Cricetulus griseus: one gene and its partners. The protein of the gene in region 1 purifies or fractionates together with the protein of each later gene. This does not show direct contact. Links are inferred from orthologs where the notes say so. Each region holds a gene or a part of one and is shown in the gene's direction. Other genes may lie near its edges.

Evidence for each region.
Region 2: the proteins of Ubr5 (region 1) and Cep78 purify together in Homo sapiens (affinity purification with western blotting; 3 studies listed by BioGRID, with this or other methods). This does not show direct contact. The link is inferred for Cricetulus griseus from reciprocal best matches to the Homo sapiens genes UBR5 and CEP78.
Region 3: the proteins of Ubr5 (region 1) and Dyrk2 purify together in Homo sapiens (affinity purification with western blotting; 3 studies listed by BioGRID and IntAct, with this or other methods). This does not show direct contact. The link is inferred for Cricetulus griseus from reciprocal best matches to the Homo sapiens genes UBR5 and DYRK2.

The regions. Positions count from the first base shown.
Region 1 is NC_048603.1:13,793,813-13,800,879, forward strand, and holds part of Ubr5 (E3 ubiquitin-protein ligase UBR5), read left to right. Parts: intron 1-2,440; coding exon 2,441-2,671; intron 2,672-3,198; coding exon 3,199-3,272; intron 3,273-4,816; coding exon 4,817-4,989; intron 4,990-5,071; coding exon 5,072-5,185; intron 5,186-6,041; coding exon 6,042-6,262; intron 6,263-7,067. UniProt on the Homo sapiens protein: E3 ubiquitin-protein ligase involved in different protein quality control pathways in the cytoplasm and nucleus. Mainly acts as a ubiquitin chain elongator that extends pre-ubiquitinated substrates.
Region 2 is NC_048596.1:45,106,441-45,113,507, forward strand, and holds part of Cep78 (centrosomal protein of 78 kDa), read left to right. Parts: intron 1-939; coding exon 940-1,075; intron 1,076-1,430; coding exon 1,431-1,476; intron 1,477-2,788; coding exon 2,789-2,917; intron 2,918-7,067. UniProt on the Homo sapiens protein: Centriole wall protein that localizes to mature centrioles and regulates centriole and cilia biogenesis. Involved in centrosome duplication: required for efficient PLK4 centrosomal localization and PLK4-induced overduplication of centrioles.
Region 3 is NW_023276806.1:137,765,936-137,773,002, forward strand, and holds part of Dyrk2 (dual specificity tyrosine-phosphorylation-regulated kinase 2), read left to right. Parts: intron 1-3,201; coding exon 3,202-4,809; 3' UTR 4,810-7,067. UniProt on the Homo sapiens protein: Serine/threonine-protein kinase involved in the regulation of the mitotic cell cycle, cell proliferation, apoptosis, organization of the cytoskeleton and neurite outgrowth. Functions in part via its role in ubiquitin-dependent proteasomal protein degradation.

The DNA.
Region 1 (7,067 bases):
GAAATCCTACACTTCTTAGTGGTCATTCCTATCTTGTTTTCTTTATACAGATTCTAAACATATTATGCAAATAGAATCAAACAATATGGATGGGCTGTATGGGGCACACCTTTAATCCCAGCACTCGGGAGGCAGAGATGGGCGGATCTCTGTGAGCCAACCTGGTCTCCAGAGCGAGTGCCAGGATAGGCTCCAAAGCTACACAGAGAAACCCTGTCTCAAACACCCCCCCAGAGAGAGAGAGAGAGAGAGAGAGAGAGAGAGAGAGAGAGAGAGAGAGAGAGAGAGAGAGAAAGAGAACCATACAATCCATGATCTTTTAGGACTGGCTTCTGTTAACACATCGATGTTTTGGTTCAACCATGTTTAGCATTGTCGATAACTCAAAATATTCTGACATTTTGTTAAAAATGTTAAAAGCCATTCACCAACTGACATTTGGAATATTTCTGCCTTTTCACTCCTGTGTATGATGTCGCACATTTCCTTGAAGGTTTTGTGTGGACATGTAGTTTTGGTGTTTTATGTAGTTGTGAAATTGCTAGGTCGTGTGGTAATGTGCACGTTTAACACTGTGAGACACCGCCAGACTGTTTTCCTAAAGGCAGGGTTTGAGAGAGCTTTGGTTTCTCTGGGTCCTTCCCCTATCTACACACACACACACACACACACACACACACACACACACACACACACACACACACACACACACACACACACACACACACACACACACACACACACACACACACACACACACACCCCCCCCCCCCCCCCCCCCCGCTTTAAACTGTTTTCCTAAAGGCAGGGTTTGAGAGAGCTTTGGTTTCTCTGGGTCCTTCCCCTATCTCTACACACGCACGCACGCACGCACGCACGCACGCACACACACACACACACACCCCGCTTTAAAGTAATTTCCCAGTAGAGGATGGCCTTGAATACTAATCTTCCTGCATCTGGACTGTGCTGGGGTTATACGCACAGATAGGGTTTCTCTAGTGGGTGTGATATAGCATGGGACCTGCAGTCTGCAGTCACATCTCAGTTCACACATCTGAGTTCATTATGGTTTGGACTTGTCAACGATGCTGCAACATTATTTTTTCATGTGCTGACTGGCAGTTTGCCCTATGTCTGCTTAGCTCTTTTGCACAGCTGTAAGCTAACTTTTTTACTTTTTGTTTAGTTATGAGTATATATATTTTGAATAATACTTCCTTATCAAACTGTTTTTTTTTTAATGTGTATATATTTGAGTGAAGGTCACTTCTTGATTCTCAATTGAATTGCTCCTTTGGAGCTGCAGTTACTGGCAGCTGTGTGTTACCTTTCTTGGGTGCTGGGATCCAAACTTGTGTCACCTGGAAGGAATAGCAAGTGCTCTTAACTTCTCAGCCATCTCTACAATTTTTCATTTGTTGGTGTCCTTTGAGAAGTACAAAAGTTTCTAATTTTGATAAAAGTCCAGTTCACTTACACTTTCATTTGCTGCTTGTGCTTTCTGGTATCATTTGTTCGTTCATTCTTTCATTCATTCATTCAGAGACAAAATTTTGCCGTGTAGCAGTCTGGTGTCTAATTTGCTGTATAGCCCTGACCTGCTTCTCTCTCCATCCCTCTGCCTCCCATGTCCCAAAGCATGGGACAGCGTGAGTGACCATTCCCCACATTTGACACTGCTTTCAGGCTGTGTCTTAGTTTGCTTTTCTATTGCTGTGATAAATGAGACATGACCATGTGTTATCTCATCTCACAGCTTATAGTCCATTATCCAGGGGAGTCAGGGCAGGCCCTCAGCAGGAACCGATGCAGAAGCCTGGGAAAGGTGCTGCTCACTGTCTTTCTTATGGCTTGCTGAGCCTGCTCTCTTACAGCACCTTGGGGTGGCACCATGCACACAGTGTGCTGGACCCTCCCACATCAAGCATCGGTGAGGAAACTGCTTATACATTGACTAATCCTTTTTCCTAAAGAACTCTAGCTTGTATCAGGTTGACACCACAATGGCCAGCACAGGTGGATGCTTCTCGTCATGGTTCCTAGAACTCCACCATCTTGCCTTAGTGGGCAACTTGTCAGAAATGCAAATTCAGACATTTTAAGACTGGTGTTAGGCAATAAATCATAAGCAGTAGTACATACAAAGAGCATTTGAGTGCTCTATTTTCTCTTACGGTTTACTTAGTCTTACGTTTATGAGTGTCTTGCACATGTGGAATACCTGAGGAAGCAATAAGAGGGTGTCAGATTGCCCTGGAAATGGAGTCCTGGGTGGTTGTGAGTCACCATGTGTGTGCTGGGAATCAAACCCAGGTCCTCTGCAAGTGTAGCAAGTGCTCTTAACTGATGAGCCATCAATCACTTCAACCCAGTGCTTTCCATTTCTTAGTTCTATTTGTGGGTTTTGTAAACATCTTCTTGGTTGTTGTCCCTATAGGCGTGCCACACTGCTTAGCGCCCGTCAGGGGATGATGTCTGCTCGAGGAGACTTTCTCAACTATGCCCTTTCTTTAATGCGGTCTCATAACGACGAGCATTCTGATGTCCTTCCGGTGCTGGACGTCTGCTCACTGAAACATGTGGCTTATGTTTTCCAAGCCCTGATATATTGGATTAAAGCAATGAATCAACAGACAACACTGGACACCCCTCAGCTGGAACGCAAAAGGTATATCCATGCTTTCTTTCCTTGAGTCTTGTTTGAGAACTATGTGGTGTAGTCTCTAAGTTTGGATTAAGGAGACCAGCCCTGCAGAAGCTAACAAAGGTAGTTCATGTAGGAAAGTGGGCTCAACCTCTATCCAACTATTCTGTCATGATTTCCCACTTAAAATGAAAATTTGGAACCCAGTTAAACTAAATTGGTGAGATATTTGTCTTGTCAAAATTTGGATGAGAGTTTGTGTAGACACTCAGTATTTCTTCAGTGATACTTATTTATTTTGGCTTCTGTTGAGCCTATTTTGTTATTACAGGGAATCTGGCAGAGCATTTTACCACCCAGTATCTGAAACTATAAAATAGTAGTGTTAGGTGTGAGTTAGAGCTCAGGATGAGGTGTCCGATGGTCAAGGTGTTTGCCTAACACCCAAGTTCAATCCTTGGGTCCCACATGCTGGTAGAGAGAGACCAAAGTGACATTTCTCATGCTCTTTTCTTGCATGATTTAAATGGCCAACTTTGCTCTTTTCCTAGGACACGGGAACTCTTGGAGCTGGGCATCGACAATGAAGATTCGGAGCATGAGAACGACGAGGACACCAGTCAAAGTAAGTCTAAGCAGGGTCAGGAGATGCCTGCCTCAGAGATGGCTGCTGCCTCAGGGGTTCCCTCCAGGCCTTTAGACTGCACTGTGTTCTGTCTGTGTGGGGATTTCTCTTCTCTGTCATTTTCCTTACACATTCTCCTATTGTGTATTTCATAATTCAGACTGAATTAATGGGAATTTGCCAGCAGTCTCTACTTTTTCAGAATTTCTCTTTTTCATTTCTCTTAGTTTATATTTACCATTACTTCAAATCATGGAAAATGTTAATTCTTTATTAATTCTGATGCAGATTTAGTTATAGAAAGTAAGAGAAATTAAGTTTTTTTTTTTTTTTTATGGTTTTTTCGAGACAAGGTTTCTCCGTGTAGCTTTGGAGCCTATCTTGGCACTTGCTCTGGTGACCAGGCTGGCCTCGAACTCACATAGATTCTCTGCCTCCTGAGTGCTGGGATTTAAAGGCATGCGCCACCAACGCCCGGCTGAGAAGTTAAGTTTTAATGCCACAAAATTGGAGGATTCTGTGAAACAGTGGTTTTCAACCTACCTTGGGGTCTTGACACCTTGGGGATTGAATGATCTTTTCATAGGGGTTGCCTAAGACCATTGAAAAACACAGATATTTACGTTACAATTCATAATAGTAACAAAAAGGACAATTATGAAGTAGCAATGAAAATACTTTTATGGTTGAGGTCGCAGCATGAGGAGGAACAGCATTGAGAACCAGTTGGTACAGAGCCAACTTGTTGTTTTAGTTGGGAGTTAGAGATTAAGAACCAACAGTCCAGTTTCCTCTTTATTACTCCCAGCTAATACTTTTATTAGCTCAGGGAAAGACAGCTGGTCTGGGTTTGGTTTTTGGTGGTTGTTGATGTTGTTTTGTTATGGTGGGTTTGGTTTTTTTTTCTTTCTCCCTTGGAAAGTTCAGCCATAACCCACCATTTCCGCAGCCTTAGTAGGCACTGCCAAGAGTTTGGTTCCATTAAGGAGAGCTGCTGCTAGTGTGCTGGGCACAGAAGCTGCTCGGCAGCTCCTTGTTGATTTCAGTGTGGTAAGCAGGTAGTGAGATTTCGACTTCTTTCATCTCCTTTTGCTGTCACTAGGCTGAGCCCTGAACATGCTCTGGAGACTAGTTGTTCCGTGTTAGCCCATTCTCTGGATCTAAAGAGAAGAGGGTAGGGTGCAAGAAGCCTTTTGAGCAGTGTTCATCCGCTTTTTTTTTTTTTTTTTTTTTTTTTACTCTTGCATTTTTATTGCTGTGTGATATATAATGCATTCAATTCTTTTGGAATGTCACTTAAAATGCATCAAATGCTAGCTGTGGTGTCACACAGGCCTTTAATGTCAATGCTGAGGTAAGTAGAGGCAGGTCAGCCCGGTTGGCCAAGGCTGCCACACAATGAGAGTCTGTTTCCAATCCAACCTTTAACTTACTTTCTAGTATATGAACATTTTATAAGAGCTACCAAGCATTTTGGATTGAGCAAATTAATTTTCTGTTATCCTTTGTACTTACTTTTTTTTTTTTTAATTTTTAATGTTTAGGTGCTACTTTGAATGATAAGGATGATGAATCTCTCCCTGCAGAAACTGGCCAAAACCACCCTTTTTTCCGACGTTCAGACTCTATGACGTTCCTTGGATGTATTCCCCCAAATCCATTTGAAGTGCCTTTGGCTGAGGCTATCCCCCTGGCCGATCAGCCACATTTGTTGCAGGTGAACTAAACAGGTCCAGTGCTCTTTTACAGCTGACGTTGAAGTGTTCAATCTAACTATAATATGTCTTGTTAAATTCCAGCCAAATGCTAGAAAGGAAGATCTGTTTGGCCGTCCAAGTCAGGGTCTTTATTCCTCGTCTACCAGTAGTGGGAAATGCTTAGTGGAAGTTACAATGGACAGAAATTGCCTTGAGGTAAGAGAGTAAAAGTTTACACTGTATTTCTTAGTTAGCACTTTTCCCAGCATCCAGATTTGAACAGATGGGTTAGTTCAGAATATTTTATGTCCCTCAATAGTAGAAATGCCACAAGTCCCTTTTATTACAGCATAATCGAACTGTTCCTCTTTTCACACATCACATATCTCTGGGGTATGCTTAGTGCTTAGTGCCGAAGCCCGTGGTTGATGTGTCCTGCTGAAAATCTAGGTTTCCGGATAAGATCACTTCCGATAAATGAGCACATGTAATTTTGTCTTCAAATTTCCCTTGATGTGCTGAGCTGCTTGAATCAAGAATAAAGACAAATAAGTAATGATAAAGATAAATTAGTAATGACACCTCAGTAATTCTGTCTCATTCTTTATAACCCAGAAAAGATTTAGGTAAGAAATAAGGCTTGAAGAGATTATAAATTTCAAGTGGGAATGTCAGTTATCACACAGCTAAAGTTTTCAGATATATATGGCTGATTTGAGAGGTAAAATTATATCCTGTTTTTGTAGGGAAAAAATAGTATGTTTAAAGGCAGCATAAGAGAAAGATAGCTGAATTGATTTTCTTTTGCAGTTAAGTGATAAAGGAGAATGTATGAGACTTAGGTACCAGAGATAGCTAAGATTGCCTTGAAAATTGTCTAGTGCACTCTGGTGAGTGCACTGGGTGTTGTGGTCCTCGAGGACTGGTCGACAAGAGCAGACTGCATTTGGTGGTGGAAGCTCTGCGAAGGGAGGGGGGCATCGTGACTTAACTCAGGATTTCTGTGGGGCTCCATTAAGTTGAAAACATTTCCCCCCCTTAATGTGTAACTTCTAAACCTAAAATTGCATAGGTTCTTCCAACTAAAATGTCTTACGCTGCCAATCTAAAAAATGTAATGAACATGCAAAACCGCCAAAAGAAAGAAGGGGAAGAGCAGAGTGTGCTGGCTGAGGAAGCCGAGAGTTCAAATCCAGGGCCGTCAGCTCACGACGTTGCTGCCCAGTTGAAGAGCAGTTTACTAGCAGAGATCGGACTCACTGAAAGCGAAGGGCCGCCCCTTACATCATTCAGGTAATGCCCCTATGGCTGCTAGACTTCAGTTTTCATTAGAAGTTCCATATTTTATAAATTTGTATATGTTAAGTATCATAATTACTGTTACTCCTCTGTGGTTTCCTATGAGTTCTCTGGACTTTATGACGTCTTAAAGATTGATCTTCTTTTTCCTGTATTGAATTTCCAAGATGCTATTTTTCTTACTGTTTAATATACTGACTTAAAACCGTCAATTACAGATGTGTTATCAGCAGCTCAGATAAGGAGAACGTGTAAATACTAGAATGAATAGACTGTTTAGGACTTGTGACTCATGTTTAATTGGGGCTCACAGATGGTATGTCTGACAGGTTTTTGTTTACTAAATAAGTTACTAGCATGTAGTGTTGCTTAGTGTTCATTGGTCACCAAGTGATTTGCTGACTCTTGTTCATGCCTTAGTTTTCGGCTAGAAGTATATTATTTTTGCTTAAGTTAATGAGCTAGTTAATGAAATAGGTATGCCTAGGAGTTAAGTAGGGAATGAACAGGATGCCTTGTATGGACACTGTCTCCAGCCATAAAGAGCACGAGGCGATTTCTGTGCTGCAGTCGCCTAGACTTAGAGGTCATGTGAGAAGGTGGTTAGGCCAGGTTGGAGAAAAGGATTAGAGGTCTGAAGACCAGTTAGTAATAGCTCTAGCTTGAGGAAAAGGGGTTAAGTTGGCCCATTAGCTTTAGGGTTGGAAAGAAAATCATGTCCAGGGTAGGTGGTGGAACAGAAGGTAGGAAAAAGTGCCTTACATCTGCACGGGGAAGTAGATGGTGCTGATGGATGTTG
Region 2 (7,067 bases), on another chromosome or scaffold:
AGAAAATGGCACAGGACTGTGGTGATTATCAGTGAGTTAGTTACACTGTATGAAATATCCACCTTGGGCCACTGAGACAGCACAGGGGAAGGCAATTGCCAGCAAGCCTAAAGACCTGAGTTCGATTCTCAGGACCCACATGGTGGAAAGATATTACTGACTCCTGCAAGTTGTCCTCTAATTGCCCACCTGCATGCCACAGCACACATACACAAATCAGTGTGCTTTTTTTTAAAATGACTTTAAAAGAAATATATGTGCTATATAACTACATGTGCTTCATTTTAGATGGCATCCTAGTACAACAAACCAGAGGGATATACACGACCATTCTATTTTACTTTTATTACTTTTTGTTCTTTTCAAAACAGGATCTTATTATGACTGGTCTAAAACTTTTGATGTCTAGGGATAAGATTAAATACAACTGATTTAGTAAACTTTTGTTATTTGTTCTCAGTGATATTAGAGACAAAAACTTAAAATGTGAACTTTAATATATGATTTCTTCTAATAATGTGTTAATATATGGGTTTAACTGCTACAAGTATTTCATGTTTAATTCTTAGTGTTGACTTTAAGGTAAGTTCCTCATTTCATCTTTGTGTGTGTGTGTGTGTGTGTGTTCTATACTCATGTGAAGACTGAAAGTCATCAAAATGAGGATAACATCCACTCAGTAACCTTCAGCCTTTTTGGGCAGGGATTCCTGTAATCCACACACTGTTAAGTCATAGGCAGGAGGGTCGTAAGTTCAAGTGTAGCCTGAATTAGACAGAGAAACCCGTTTTCAAAAAACAAAGTTTATAAATCACTTGTACTGTAATAGCCTTGGCATCGTAGTCAGTTATTCATTTGTGTTCTGTTAGGAGTGTGTGAATGGTAATCTGTAGTCCTTTAGTACATCTTGATTTTCTTTTATGTCTTCCTTGAACATAGGGTTAGCTACAAAGAAACCTGGGAATAATGGGAGAAAACACGGGCTCAGTAAAGACTGCTATGCCCCAGATCCTCTGCCACCAGGCGCGTCAGGTTTCCTGCCCTGGCGCACTGCAGAACGTGCAAGAAGAAACAGGTAAGGTGTTCTCTGTCATGTGCCTCAGTCCTGACTGCTGTCATTTAGGAGCTTCTGTTACATAGGAGTTCTCCTGTTGATTTCTTAAGTGGAAAGGGGTGACTCACGCATAGCCTCTGCAAAGGAGTGCCCTAAGGAAAGACAAAAAAGCAGACTGTATCTACCAATCCTCGGGAACCAGCTATGTTTAAGTAACCTGTCAGAATGACATTCTGCTTGGTCTGTTCAGGTTTTTTTCATAGGTGATTTAGAGGTATTTAGTGCTGTGGTTCTATATGGATAGTGTACATAATACAAATAAGTTTAATCATGTAGTGTGTATACATTAAAATATAACTTGTTGATATCCTTTTAGGGGTTTTCCATTGTTCAAAACTCGTGATATGCCTAACCTTCTGAAGGTATGTATCTGTCATGTTTCTGACATATAAGGGATTAGAGTAGAAGTGTAGGGTCAGCTGAATAGAGAGCTCTGTAGGATGGTTTTCCCTCCCTGACATAAATGTATTTAAAGCTCTCTGGATTCCTGGCTACCATGGTACAGTTACATGTATATGACACATACTTTGGGAGGCCCTTTGTAGATACTATTTCTACAAAAAAGATGATGCTTACAATAGGTTTGACCAGGGGATGACCACTCAAAAATGTTCCAATGTTGCTTTGGAGTATTATATGTATTTTACACACACGCACGCACGCACGCACGCACGCAATCATGCACAACACTCCACGTGTTCAAGTCAGGGTCACAAACAGTCCTTATCCCACTGCCTCAGTTCTGGATCAGGCTACTTCCGTCAGAGTGCTGTGTCACCCTGTAGTCATTCACGGAGGAGAACATCTAGTGTACCACCCTGTGTGTTGGTGTTACGCTGTATACACTAACACATTAGGAGGTCATCTCGTTCTGCCACTGAAGTTTTGCATATCCTGCAGAGTTGTCCCTAGACTGTGTACATTTTCAGTAGGGTTATGATCGTCACATTAGTTGTTAGCTAGAGGGACACCTCATTGAAACTAGACAGGAGAGTTACACTGTTACTACACTAGTCTAGGATGCAGAGAAGTGAAGGTGAGGTTTTTCTGGTGGGTTGTATATGTATGTGACTTAGTTTTTAAAACCATTCTACTATTTATCAATTACAGATAAGCTTATTGACCTTATATTCTATTCATTCTTTTCCCCTAAAAATTATACTTCCACACTCTTTATGTCTCACCTTAGAGTAAATTTATCATCCCCCGTACAAAAATTACCCTGAAAAGAAATGTTTATCCTGGATCTAAACTTGATTTATCTAGGTGGAATTTAGCAAAGTAATGTGGACAGTGCCAAACAATAATCAGCCTTATGCAGTACAGGGTTCTGTAGTAACAGCAAGAATAAGTTAGCAGCTAGGTGGTGGCCTTTAATCCCAGCACTTGGGAGGCAGAGGCAGGTGGATCTCAGTGAGTTTGAGGCCAGCCTGGTCTACAGAGCAAGTTCCAGGGCAGCCAGAGAGCTACACAGAGAAAACCCTGTCTTGAAAAAACTAAAAGAAAAAAAAAAAAGTTAGTGGCGGTTTCTGGTTGTTAACTGTGTTAGGCTAAGGAGCAATGAGATCCATTTATAGGTAATAACTTGGCATTTCAGACAGGTTGATTTAAGCAGATGGCCTCTAGTGTTTATTATTTGTCTTATGGCATTAAGTTTTATCCTCTTTATTTAAGCAATCAGATTTTCCTGTGACTGTGACAGTAGAGAGTCCGTCATCCTCAGAAACTGATGATTTTGAGGATTCTTCAGAAAGTGCCCATGAAGCACCTCAGAAAATCAGCATAAGACAAGATACATTACAGGTACACAGCTCTCCCTTCCAAGGTACAGAGGACCATTTCAAAGTGTAATTTGCTTCTTGGGGAAAGCATGATTGTGAAACAGGCCCAGGCAGCTCATTGGAATACTGTTTGTCCCTCTGTTCTAACTCTTACTGTACTTAGTGGTGAAGAGGAACAAGGTGAGATGACAGTGTGTATACTCCACAAAATAAAAAATAAAAATGTGGTACCAAGTTTTTCTCCTCTTCAAATCAGAATATTAGCTGTAAGGAGAACGTCAGTGATCATAAAATGAGCTTAAGGAAATTGAGTACTGTCATAGTCAGCTGATTCAGTGCTATGTGTGTGTAAGTGTACGTGCATACATAAATACATATGTGCATAACATACATGCATGCATGTGGAGGCCAGAGGCCTTGGTGTTAGGTTAGTCTTCAATTGCTATCAACACTGGGCTTGTTGTTTGCAGAGGTTGTTGTTTGGTTTTGAGACAAAGTCTTTCATTGGCCCAGAATTTGCCAATTAGGCTTGGCTTCCTGGTCACTGAGCCTCAGAGATCTTCCACTTGCTTGCTGGGTGCTGGGATTGTGAGTGTTCCCCACCACACCCAGCCTTTTTTCATGTTCTGATGATCCCACTTGGGTCCTGATGCAAGTGTGGCCTGACTTTGGCTGGGCTGTCTCCTGAGCCCAGTGCTGTTATTTTAAAGACTGGGAAATTGATAGTGCTAGCCAAACTCTTATCATAAGGGAAATATAACTTTGTTTTTAGTAGAAATAAAATTGAGAAGAGGTTCTTTTGTTTTAAGATAGAGTCTTACGTAGCTCCAGCTGTCCTTGACGTCGTTGTACCTCAGTCTGGCCTTGGATTCCTGGTCTTCTCCTAGCCTCCCATGTAAGCCACCGCACCTGGCCTTGGAAAAACTTTTGCTAGTGATGTTCCCCTTTCACAATTTAAAAAATTTAGAAACTACATTTTATTTTATAACTCAGTATCTAATGTCATTCTCATTTTTCCTGTTTGGATAGGCAAAAAGGAAAATTAACGTAAATTAATTTTTGTACTTATGCATGCTGTTTCTTTGGGCGCTAAGTCAGAGCTGATTTGTAGTAGGTTGTGGGAGACTTTGTCTTTAGGAAGGTCGTGGCTTTTCTTGTGTTATGTATAGTTAGGGGAAGCTGCTGGGGACTCGGGTTTGAACTCAGCCTTGTGCTGTTCAGCACACACACACTACCACTGAGCCACACCAACAGTGACTGCTTAAAACTGGTACTGTCTCAGTATAGAACTTAGAAATCTAGAAGTAGCTCTATGTTTGTTACTTACAAATGTAAGTAACAATCCCAGCACCCAGCAGGCCTTCACATTTCTGAGAGCCAGGACATCCAAAATCAAGGTCCAGCGGGTGTGCTGTCATAAGGATTTCTAGTTCATGGATGGCACCTTCTCAAAATGTCATTACATGGTTGAAGGACAGTTACCTATTTTTTTAAATATGGTTGCTGCCATCAGTATTTGATATAAAAATTTAAAACCAGGGCTGGAGAGATGGCTCAGAGGTTAAGAGCACCGACTGCTCTTCCAAAGGTTCTGAGTTCAATTCCCAGCAACCACATGGTGGCTCACAACCATCTGTTATGAGATCTGGTGCCCTCTTCTGGAGTGCAGATATACATGGAAGCAGAATGTTGTATACATAATAAATAAATAAATAAAATCTTTAAAAAGTTTTTTTTTTTTTAAACCAGCTGGGGGATATAGCTTCCCTTCTCTGGCAAGCACATAATACCCTAGGTTCAGTCCAAAGCATTACCCACCCCCAAAGATATAAATACCACAACTTAATTTTTTAAAATTAAAATTCACAATACTTCTAAAGAGAATCACTTAAAGTGATTCTTTAATAACTTAGAAAATTATACATTCTTGGAAGAGCTCCTGTGTGGACCATTTGGGAACACTTCATCTTGTGAGTCAGCCCCTACAGTTTGTTCTTAGTTCTTTATTGCTAAGACGCAGAGGGAAGTAAAATGTGTTGTGTTGGTTTCCTTCACCAGCAGTTTAAGAGAGAGGGTTGTGGGTTTGTAATGTATTGTTTTCCTTCTGTTTGTCCTAAATGCTGGAGACCACACTTTATGCATGCTATAAGCATGCTTTCCACTGCTATGACCCAACCCAGGAGATAATGTGTCAAAAGTGTTTCAAGTCACTGAGGAAGACCATGAAAGGTTCAGGCGTTATGCTGGCCTGCCTCTGTTACCTGCCGGAATCTGCTCAGGCAGTACCCGGATCAGCCCAGGGTTCCATGGGAAGGAACTAAGTCTGCACACAGGTGCAAAGGACCCCTTTAAAAGACAGACCCCTGTCCATTTACGTTCTCTCTACTCTCTCCTGCTCTTCTTTTCTCCCACCTATTCTCTCTCTCTCTCTCTCTCTCTCTCTCTCTCTCTCTCTCTCTCTCTCTCTCTGGCGACCGGCCATGGCGGTCAGCCATTAACCCTGTTTCTCTTCTTTCTTAGTCTCTCTACTCTGCCAGGCCTACAATAAACTGGTTAATATGTCTAATAGTCTCATGTCTCATCTTGCGGCCCCCTCTTCTTTTATTTCTAATTTAAGCAAAGGAATAACATTTGGCACCTAAGCAAAAGAATAACAATCCAAGGTTAGGAATTTAAGCTAGACAGCTTCTTACTCAGGGTGTGCTGAGGACCCTCACAGCGTGTCTTCATTTTGAGAACAGCTAAAATGTGTAAGCCCACAGTAAAGACAGTAGAAGGGATTCTTACTTAACTAAAAGGGGAAGGTGGGGAGAAGGAAATGTAACTGAGTCTGTCCAACATGGGAAGCTATCACTTGGAATAAGCGCTGGGGCAGCTTGGAGGGAACCTAACTGTGCTAGGGTGCTCCCTGCTGGTCTGAGAGTGCTAAGGGTGCTCCCTGCTGGTCTGAGAGTGCTAAGGGCCATTGTGTGAGTATTCACTGATGACTTTTGTTCGATGCACATTTTGGCATATCAGTTATTTTGTGGTTAAAAGCCTGCCGCTGGATTACTGAATGTGTGAGTGGGAACGGACTGTCTGATTATAAACCTGTCTATCTTAATTGAATTCACATGGGCATTCATTCTGCATTGACCAACGGTATATTCCAAGCACTCTTGAGTTTGTATCTGTTACTTCACTTAATCATCGTGTACTTATTCTCCAGTCTATGGATCAGGACCCAGAGTTACAGAATTTTCCAGCTAATGGCCAGGACTTTGTACCAGAGAATCTTCAGTGTTTAGGAAAAAGTAATCAACAACCAAACTTTAACTACTGATTACTAAACAAAGAAATGGAGATTGAAGGAAGAGGGCATGCTTCTACCTGTTCATTTGAAGAAAACTACATTCTTAAACACATCTTCTATGGCCAGGGCTTCTTCATTCTTTATTTTTTGCCTGCTTACTTTGTGCAAGGCACAGGAGGTGATAGGATAAATGCTTAATAAAACATGTTTCTCTCCTTCACACATCTTGCAGCTTACATGGGAAAGTGATAGTCATAGTAGATGAGACATACTAGAGTATGTGTTACTAGAGTAGGCTGTGTTACTGGTAGCAGTGTCAAATCCTAGGACAATATCAGAAAGCTCTTAGGATACGGGTATTTCGGGGCCTTAAAGATGTCCATTTGATGCACACTTCTAAATCTCAGGAGGCTCAGGCAGGAGAATGGAGAGTTTGAGGCCAGACGTGGCTACATAATGAGCCATTATCTCACGAAGAGTGCTGAGAGAAGGAACACTATACAAATGTGGTGTTGTGTCTGATCTTCCCACAAGGGGGAGAAGCTGTTTCATGTCATTACCCTTGGCTGTGCTGTGGAGAGCCAGTCAGAAATGGTGATGTGGAGAGACTGTTGTCACTGATTGGGTGGGACTTTGCAATGCTGCCACTGTTACACAGTCATCCATGCCCCTTTAGCCTTCATTAGTGCCCTGTAAGTGAGCCCATTAAAAGCATTGGCAAAGCAAAGGCAAAGTGTAGCCTCCTTTCTCCAGTTGTGGTGTATTAAAGCCATTATGTTAATCACAAATACCGGAGTTGGCAACATCTTTTCCTCCTTTTCCAGAAAAGCTTGGTTAGTTTTAACATTAAAGAACAGGATTGTGCTAGTGAGGTGGCTCA
Region 3 (7,067 bases), on another chromosome or scaffold:
GATGTGGTAGTGGGATGCAGCCATGAGCCACAAGCAAGAGCAGTCTCAGAAGGACAGTATATACATGCCATCTCAAGCAGCACTGTGGAGAAAGATTTGGGGAGTTTAGGCTAGTGTGTGTGTGTGTGTGTGTGTGTGTGTGTGTCTGTCTGTCTGTCTGTCTGCTGCCTGCATATCTGCCTCAGTTGTCCCAGTGAAAACAGCAGAAGGTGAAATGTAACTGATAGGGCATGAGTGAGTGGGCACAGAAGGCTTCATGATAGTGTGGGAAGTGGGCAGATGCTGAGAGTGGTTTCCAGGTATATACACTGTCAGGGATTCCCAAGTATTAGCCAGAGTGATTATTTGGGAAGAGGGTTCTTTTTTTCTGTTTTGAATTTTTTTTTTTTTTAAAGTTGAGGATTATGATAGCAAGAAAACATTTGGTTTTATAAAGAGAAGTTATGAGTTTGTTCCAGTTGCTTGTGGGAGTGGAAACTCCCTTTAGCAGTTGGGCAAAGGGGCATGGATGGGCAGGTCTGCAAGAGGACACAGGAGAGACCGCAGCCAATTATGGGTGCTCCTGACATCCTGGCTGTGTGCAGGATGGACCAGGAAATTGTAGGAGTGGAAAACCCAAGAGAATAGAAGCTTAGATCCATCTATGAGCAGGCAGCCATAGCTGATACTGCTAAAGGAGGGCAAGAGAAGGCAGGTGGAGAGAGGTGGTAGGCCAGGTTATGGGCAAGCTCTTTAGTTCTGGTCACTAAAATATTTGAAATAATGTTTGGTTTCTACAAAATTTAATTGCAATGACCTAAATCAGAGTAAATCCTTGATGCTCAAAATGTTTCCTTTTCCTAGCATTTTAGGACTCCTAAAATCCCAAGGTTGATTTTGTCCTTAATGTGCTTCATGAGTGGTAAAGCACAGATCTGAGTAATGTCGGTTCTTCTGAAGTGTCCTCCATCTTGCCCTGAAGAGAGAGGTTTCAAATCTTTTCATCCCCAGTGTTTGAAAGACTTCAGAGAAAAGAGAGCACAGGGGTGAATGAGGCTTTGGAGGAAAAGCAGTGGATGGATGAGGGCATGATGGAGCACTCAGCCACCTAGCCTGTGAGAGGTGGCGGTGGGTGATGGTGGCAAGTTTTTTATTTTTTTCTTTCCCTAGGGCTAGACTTTGCTAGTGTGTTCTTGGCTAACTCTGGCATCTTAAAAATATGGGGAAGGGAAGGAAGAGAGAGAGGGAAAGAACAATAACAAGTTTGTGCTGCTTTTGTATATGATCAAGACTTTTCTAATGTCTTTTATGGACTGCCTTGCTTTTGAAGCAGGAAGAGATACAACTGCCTTAGTGGAATATAAAGCCACCCTACATGGAGGTATCATCTGTGTGTTCAATAAGAGAAATCTGCTAGAAGTCTTGAGAAGTAAAATTCTTGATCCCGTGAAATCAGGTCCAGGAACTGGCTTCTTTCTCTTTTAGAAGTGAGCGGAGCAGAGCCTCACTCCATAGATGGCCATTATGCTTGCTGCTTGTCAGTTAAAAAAAAAAAAAAAAAAAAGACGGTGAAGGTCATCGCCTGTTAGTAAGGAAGGAAGGGCCGGAATTTCATTTTATAATCCAGGTGTTCCCAAGGTATTTCTCAAATCACTGTGCTTCTCTACTGTACTTCTTTCTTCCCAGAATATGAATGCCCCAAACAGAGGACTTAGCACTGATGACAAAGGACTGTTTTATTTACTATAAATTCCCAATGGGCAGAGTTCCTGCCACTCTGTAGCTAGTCCCTCCTTACAGCTGGTTGAATGAGTGAGGTGGATTTTGGTGACAAGTTGATTCTTTGAGATCTCAAGGAAGAATTTCCCTAGTGGGCTGCTTGAAGGAAATTCCAGGCGGATTCTGGGTAGGAGAGTGGGGGCTCTGCCTTTGGCCTGTAGGTTTTGTTTAAATAGGACTATTCCGGGATGGTATGTGTGCCCGAAATAGAAATTGCCACTTTGTATTTGTATTGGTTACTGTTTCCTTTGCTGGGAGCAAATAGCTGTGCAGAAACAACTTAAAGGAGGAGGGGTGTATTCTGGCTGACACAGTTGAAGACCGGCTACACTGTCATGGCAGTGAAGGCATGGTGGCAGGAACCCGAGGTAGCTGATGTGTGGCATCTGCAGGGAGGAAGCAGAAAGTTGCAGGCTGCTGATACTAGGTTTACTTTGTTTATTCAGTCTTGAACCACAGCCCATGGAACAGTGCCAACCATATTTAGTTTGCCTCTTCCCACCTCAGTTTACCCAATCTAGAAACTCTTTAGGGGACACACCTCCTAGGTAGTTCTACAGCCTGCCGAGGTGGCAGTATTAACATCATGTTTTTCTTTATTGGAAAGCTGAGGGTCACAACAGCCTGTAGAAGTAGAGATACATGTGTGGGTACTGAGCTGTAATCCAGCGGTCCAAGCTGAATGGCAATTGTTCAGCTTGTTGCACAGAATGACCTTAACTGATTAAAGTCAGTGACACCCAGTAACTGTTAAAAAGAAAAAAAAAGGTTTGGAGTTTGCAAGGTAACTAGGGCACACGTGTCTATGGGAGACTCTGTCAATAGAAGCACATTTTGTTTATTACTGTGTGTGTTCCTAGATTAATTAGAACCTCCAGGGACTAGGGAAGTATAAAGTGTTTCTGGAGGTGGGCTGGATATGCGAGGGAGTGCTGGACAAATGTGATTCCCCATTCTCATGTAAGTAAAGAATGCCTGAATAAAAGGGGAAGACACTGTGATCTGGGTGTGGGCAGCAGTGTGGATGACACGTCACCTGTGTGCTTCACTTGTTTCCTTTTCAGATCAGTTATGGCTTAAAATACCCACCATGTGCCAGGCTTCTTATTAAACATTAGGTGCAACATGGTAACAGGAAGGTTTGATCCCTGCCTTCAGGAAAACTGACTTCTAGGACCCAGGCTATGTAGCTGTGGCATTCCCAGGGCTGTCCTATGTTTCCTAACCTTGCCCAATCTACTGTCCTCCTTTTCTTTTACTGTCTTGCCTATTAGCATCCTATTCGCTCTCCCTGCTGGTACGTTCATGGGATCTCTTGGGTACACACACTGTGGCTGTAGGTTCATGCCAAATTGGGGGTTGGGTAATGAGAGCTGATTTCTAATATCACGTTTGGAGAGAAGGCCCCTTCCTTTCTGTTTATGTTTCTTGTCTGGATTCCAGATTGGCGGCGGTAAGCACACCATGAATGACCACCTCCACATCAGCAGCCACAGCCACGGCCAGATCCAGGTTCAGCAGCTGTTTGAGGATAACAGTAACAAAAGAACAGTGCTTACAACACAACCAAATGGGCTTACAACAGTGGGCAAAACAGGCTTGCCTGTGGTGCCCGAGCGGCAGCTGGAAAGCATTCACAGACGGCAGGGGAGTTCCACCTCTCTCAAGTCCATGGAAGGCATGGGGAAGGTGAAAGCCACCCCCATGACACCCGAACAAGCGATGAAGCAATACATGCAAAAACTCACAGCCTTTGAACACCATGAGATTTTTAGCTACCCTGAAATATATTTCTTGGGTCCAAATGCAAAGAAACGCCAAGGCATGACAGGTGGACCCAACAATGGGGGTTATGATGATGACCAGGGATCATATGTACAGGTGCCCCATGATCACGTGGCTTACAGGTACGAGGTCCTCAAGGTCATTGGGAAGGGGAGCTTTGGGCAGGTGGTCAAGGCCTATGACCACAAAGTCCACCAGCACGTGGCCCTGAAGATGGTGCGGAACGAGAAGCGCTTCCACCGGCAGGCGGCAGAGGAGATCCGAATCTTGGAACACCTACGGAAGCAGGATAAAGACAACACTATGAACGTCATCCACATGCTGGAGAATTTTACCTTCCGCAACCACATCTGCATGACGTTTGAGTTGCTGAGCATGAACCTCTATGAGCTTATCAAGAAGAATAAATTCCAGGGCTTCAGCCTGCCTCTGGTGCGCAAGTTTGCCCACTCGATCCTGCAGTGTTTGGATGCTTTGCACAAAAACAGAATAATCCACTGTGACCTTAAGCCCGAGAATATTTTGTTAAAGCAGCAAGGTAGAAGCAGTATTAAAGTGATTGACTTTGGCTCCAGTTGTTATGAGCACCAGCGTGTCTACACGTACATCCAGTCGCGCTTCTACCGGGCTCCGGAAGTGATCCTTGGAGCCAGGTACGGCATGCCCATTGATATGTGGAGCCTGGGTTGCATCCTCGCGGAACTCCTGACAGGTTACCCCCTCTTGCCTGGGGAGGATGAAGGGGACCAACTAGCTTGTATGATTGAGCTTTTGGGCATGCCCTCCCAGAAACTCCTGGATGCTTCCAAACGAGCCAAAAATTTCGTGAGCTCCAAGGGTTATCCCCGGTACTGCACTGTCACAACTCTTTCAGATGGCTCAGTAGTCCTCAACGGAGGCCGATCCCGGAGAGGGAAACTGAGGGGCCCGCCAGAGAGCAGAGAGTGGGGGAACGCACTGAAGGGATGTGATGACCCTCTTTTCCTTGACTTCTTAAAACAGTGTTTGGAGTGGGATCCCGCGGTCCGCATGACCCCGGGCCAGGCTTTGCGGCACCCCTGGCTCAGGAGGCGATTGCCAAAGCCTCCGACTGGGGAGAAGACAGCGGTGAAGAGGGTCACGGACAGCGCTGGTGCTATCACGTCGATTTCCAAGTTACCTCCACCTTCCAGCTCAGCTTCCAAGCTGAGGACTAATTTGGCACAGATGACAGATGCCAATGGGAATATTCAGCAGAGGACAATGTTGCCAAAACTCGTTAGCTGAGCTCCAATCCCCCTGATGCTGGCAAGCTGAAAAATGCGTTATAGCTGAGCCTTATTGGGTTGAATAGTATAGCTCAGACCTGTTTTTATTTGCTCAGAAACTCGACTCGTTTTTATCTTTTCAGCACTTGATGTAAGAGTTTGTTTTGTTTTTATAAAATACATGGGGACAATGCTTTAAGTTTTTATACTTTCTGAAATAGTTTTTCTCCCTTTCTTGTGTTCTAAAAGTAAGATGAGCCTTACTGTATTTAGTGTGGCAGAGTGATCATACCAGTGGCAGGCCATTGATTTCTTCATGACGGCCACACATTTACAGATTGGTCAAACATAATCACTATGTTTTCATGGTTCATCCTCTATGCTCCCCAGGGAGGTGGCCCCTAGGGGTCCTCCTCCTCTCTCCATGCTCTAGGTTCCCGCAGGAGCAGCAGGCCTTGCTTCCATTTTCCGTAAATTAACCTGGGTCAGAGTGGAGGTGGAAGACGAAGGGTCAGGGTGAAAATCTCTAAGAAAAAAACGCACTTTAGAGATTGTCTTTTTCCTCATGGTGTGTTGCCCAGGTTTAACCCGCCCACTTAACATTCTGATGCCTGTAAGCCACCAAGCAACATTTAGTGGATAAGTGGAAGCTGAGATGTAGAATTCCTCCCGAGGCTCTGGGAAGATGGCAAGCTGTCATAATCAGGAAACCTTCTGATTATGAAATTGCTTTTCTGCCTAATTTTAGGACTCCCCCCACCACTGTTCCCTGCTTCTCTTTCTCTTTTATCACACATCTGCTGCCTGCATTTAGTGTGTCTTTTTCCTTCAGCTGCCTACCCCAGACTGTTAATTCATAGAGCCATTTCAGCTGCCATTATGTTCAGAGTTTCATACCCCAGTTTCCAAAAGATCAGCAGCCTAGCTACCTAAGGGGGAGATTTCCATAGTTCCGAAGATTTAGCTGGCCAGAGTGAGTTCACACTGTAGGCGCCACTGAGGTTCCCTTAGCCTGGGAAAGCATCAATTCTTTCGTTAGAAAGAAAAGGGGTTGGAAATCCTCTTGGTGAAGAGAAGTCACTGTGGCCATTCATTTGGGCCAGTTTTAACAATAAATTGAAAGGAGGAGAAATTCAACCTCGAGTTAAATGGTTTGACTTATTCTTTGATTTGTTAGAAGAGCCACGGAAACTGCATCCCTCTGTTTAGTTTTACTTTCTTTTGGATGGCACTGAGTGTTTTTGTGGGGATGACACTTTACCTGAAAGAGTAACTAAGAGTTAGGTAAAAGAATATTTTCTTCTCTGAATGATAATTATTTTCACAGTGAAAATTTCAGTATTTTATCACTAATGGATGAACAGTGATATATATCAATTTCAAGGCACGTGGAAAGAATTTTTTTAGTATGTGCAATTTAATAGAGAAAGATTTCTGCCTGTTTGGACAATAGGTTTTGGATAGTAAAAATTAGGATAAATAATCTTTTATATGCACAGATATTATAGTATTGCCTGTAAATCGATTTACAAAGTACTTAAAGCATGGTCCCCAGTGAGGCCAAGAAAGTTTCCGGTTAAGTTTTTTCTTTATTTTTTAATTCTATGTTTTTTCTTATTTTAGAAAAACAAAAAAGCAAAAAAACAAAACAAAGAAAAAAAACAAATAAAAAGTGTCATTTTGAATAAAACATTTTTCTTATCTTGAGGCTTTGCCAGTTGATGGTGGAAAAATATGCTCAGGAATTATTTCAAATATTTGCCAAAAATCAGTAATAAGATTAGCTTATTAATAAGTTAGTGATGTTGCTGTTTGCTTTACTATTTAAGGATGCCATTGGTAAATTAATTTGTACCTTCTGTACTTAGCAATGATAGCTTATTTCCCTAGTCACATTCTTTAGCATACTGTACACATTTCTGTGTAATCTGTGAAGTGCAATAATATGTCAGTAAGTTACATTTTAAGTGACAGTTCTCCCAATCAGTGGCTTATAGGACTTAAAAATTTGTGTATTTAATTTTTTAAAAAATCGGCTTAAAGGCATGAGAAATATAAGATTTGGTCTGGGGACTTTTGTAAAACTACAAGTCTCTTAGTGATGTTTAGTGCCTTTAGGTCATTCAAGTATATTTAAAAACTACAAAAGCTGTTCTCCCCTTAAGAGGTTCCTGTTCTATTCCCATTATCACTTAGTTGTCGCAGTGTGAGCCTGAGCCTGCTATCACTAACTCCCCTATAACACGGCTATACTTGCAACAGTTTAGAAGTGGATTA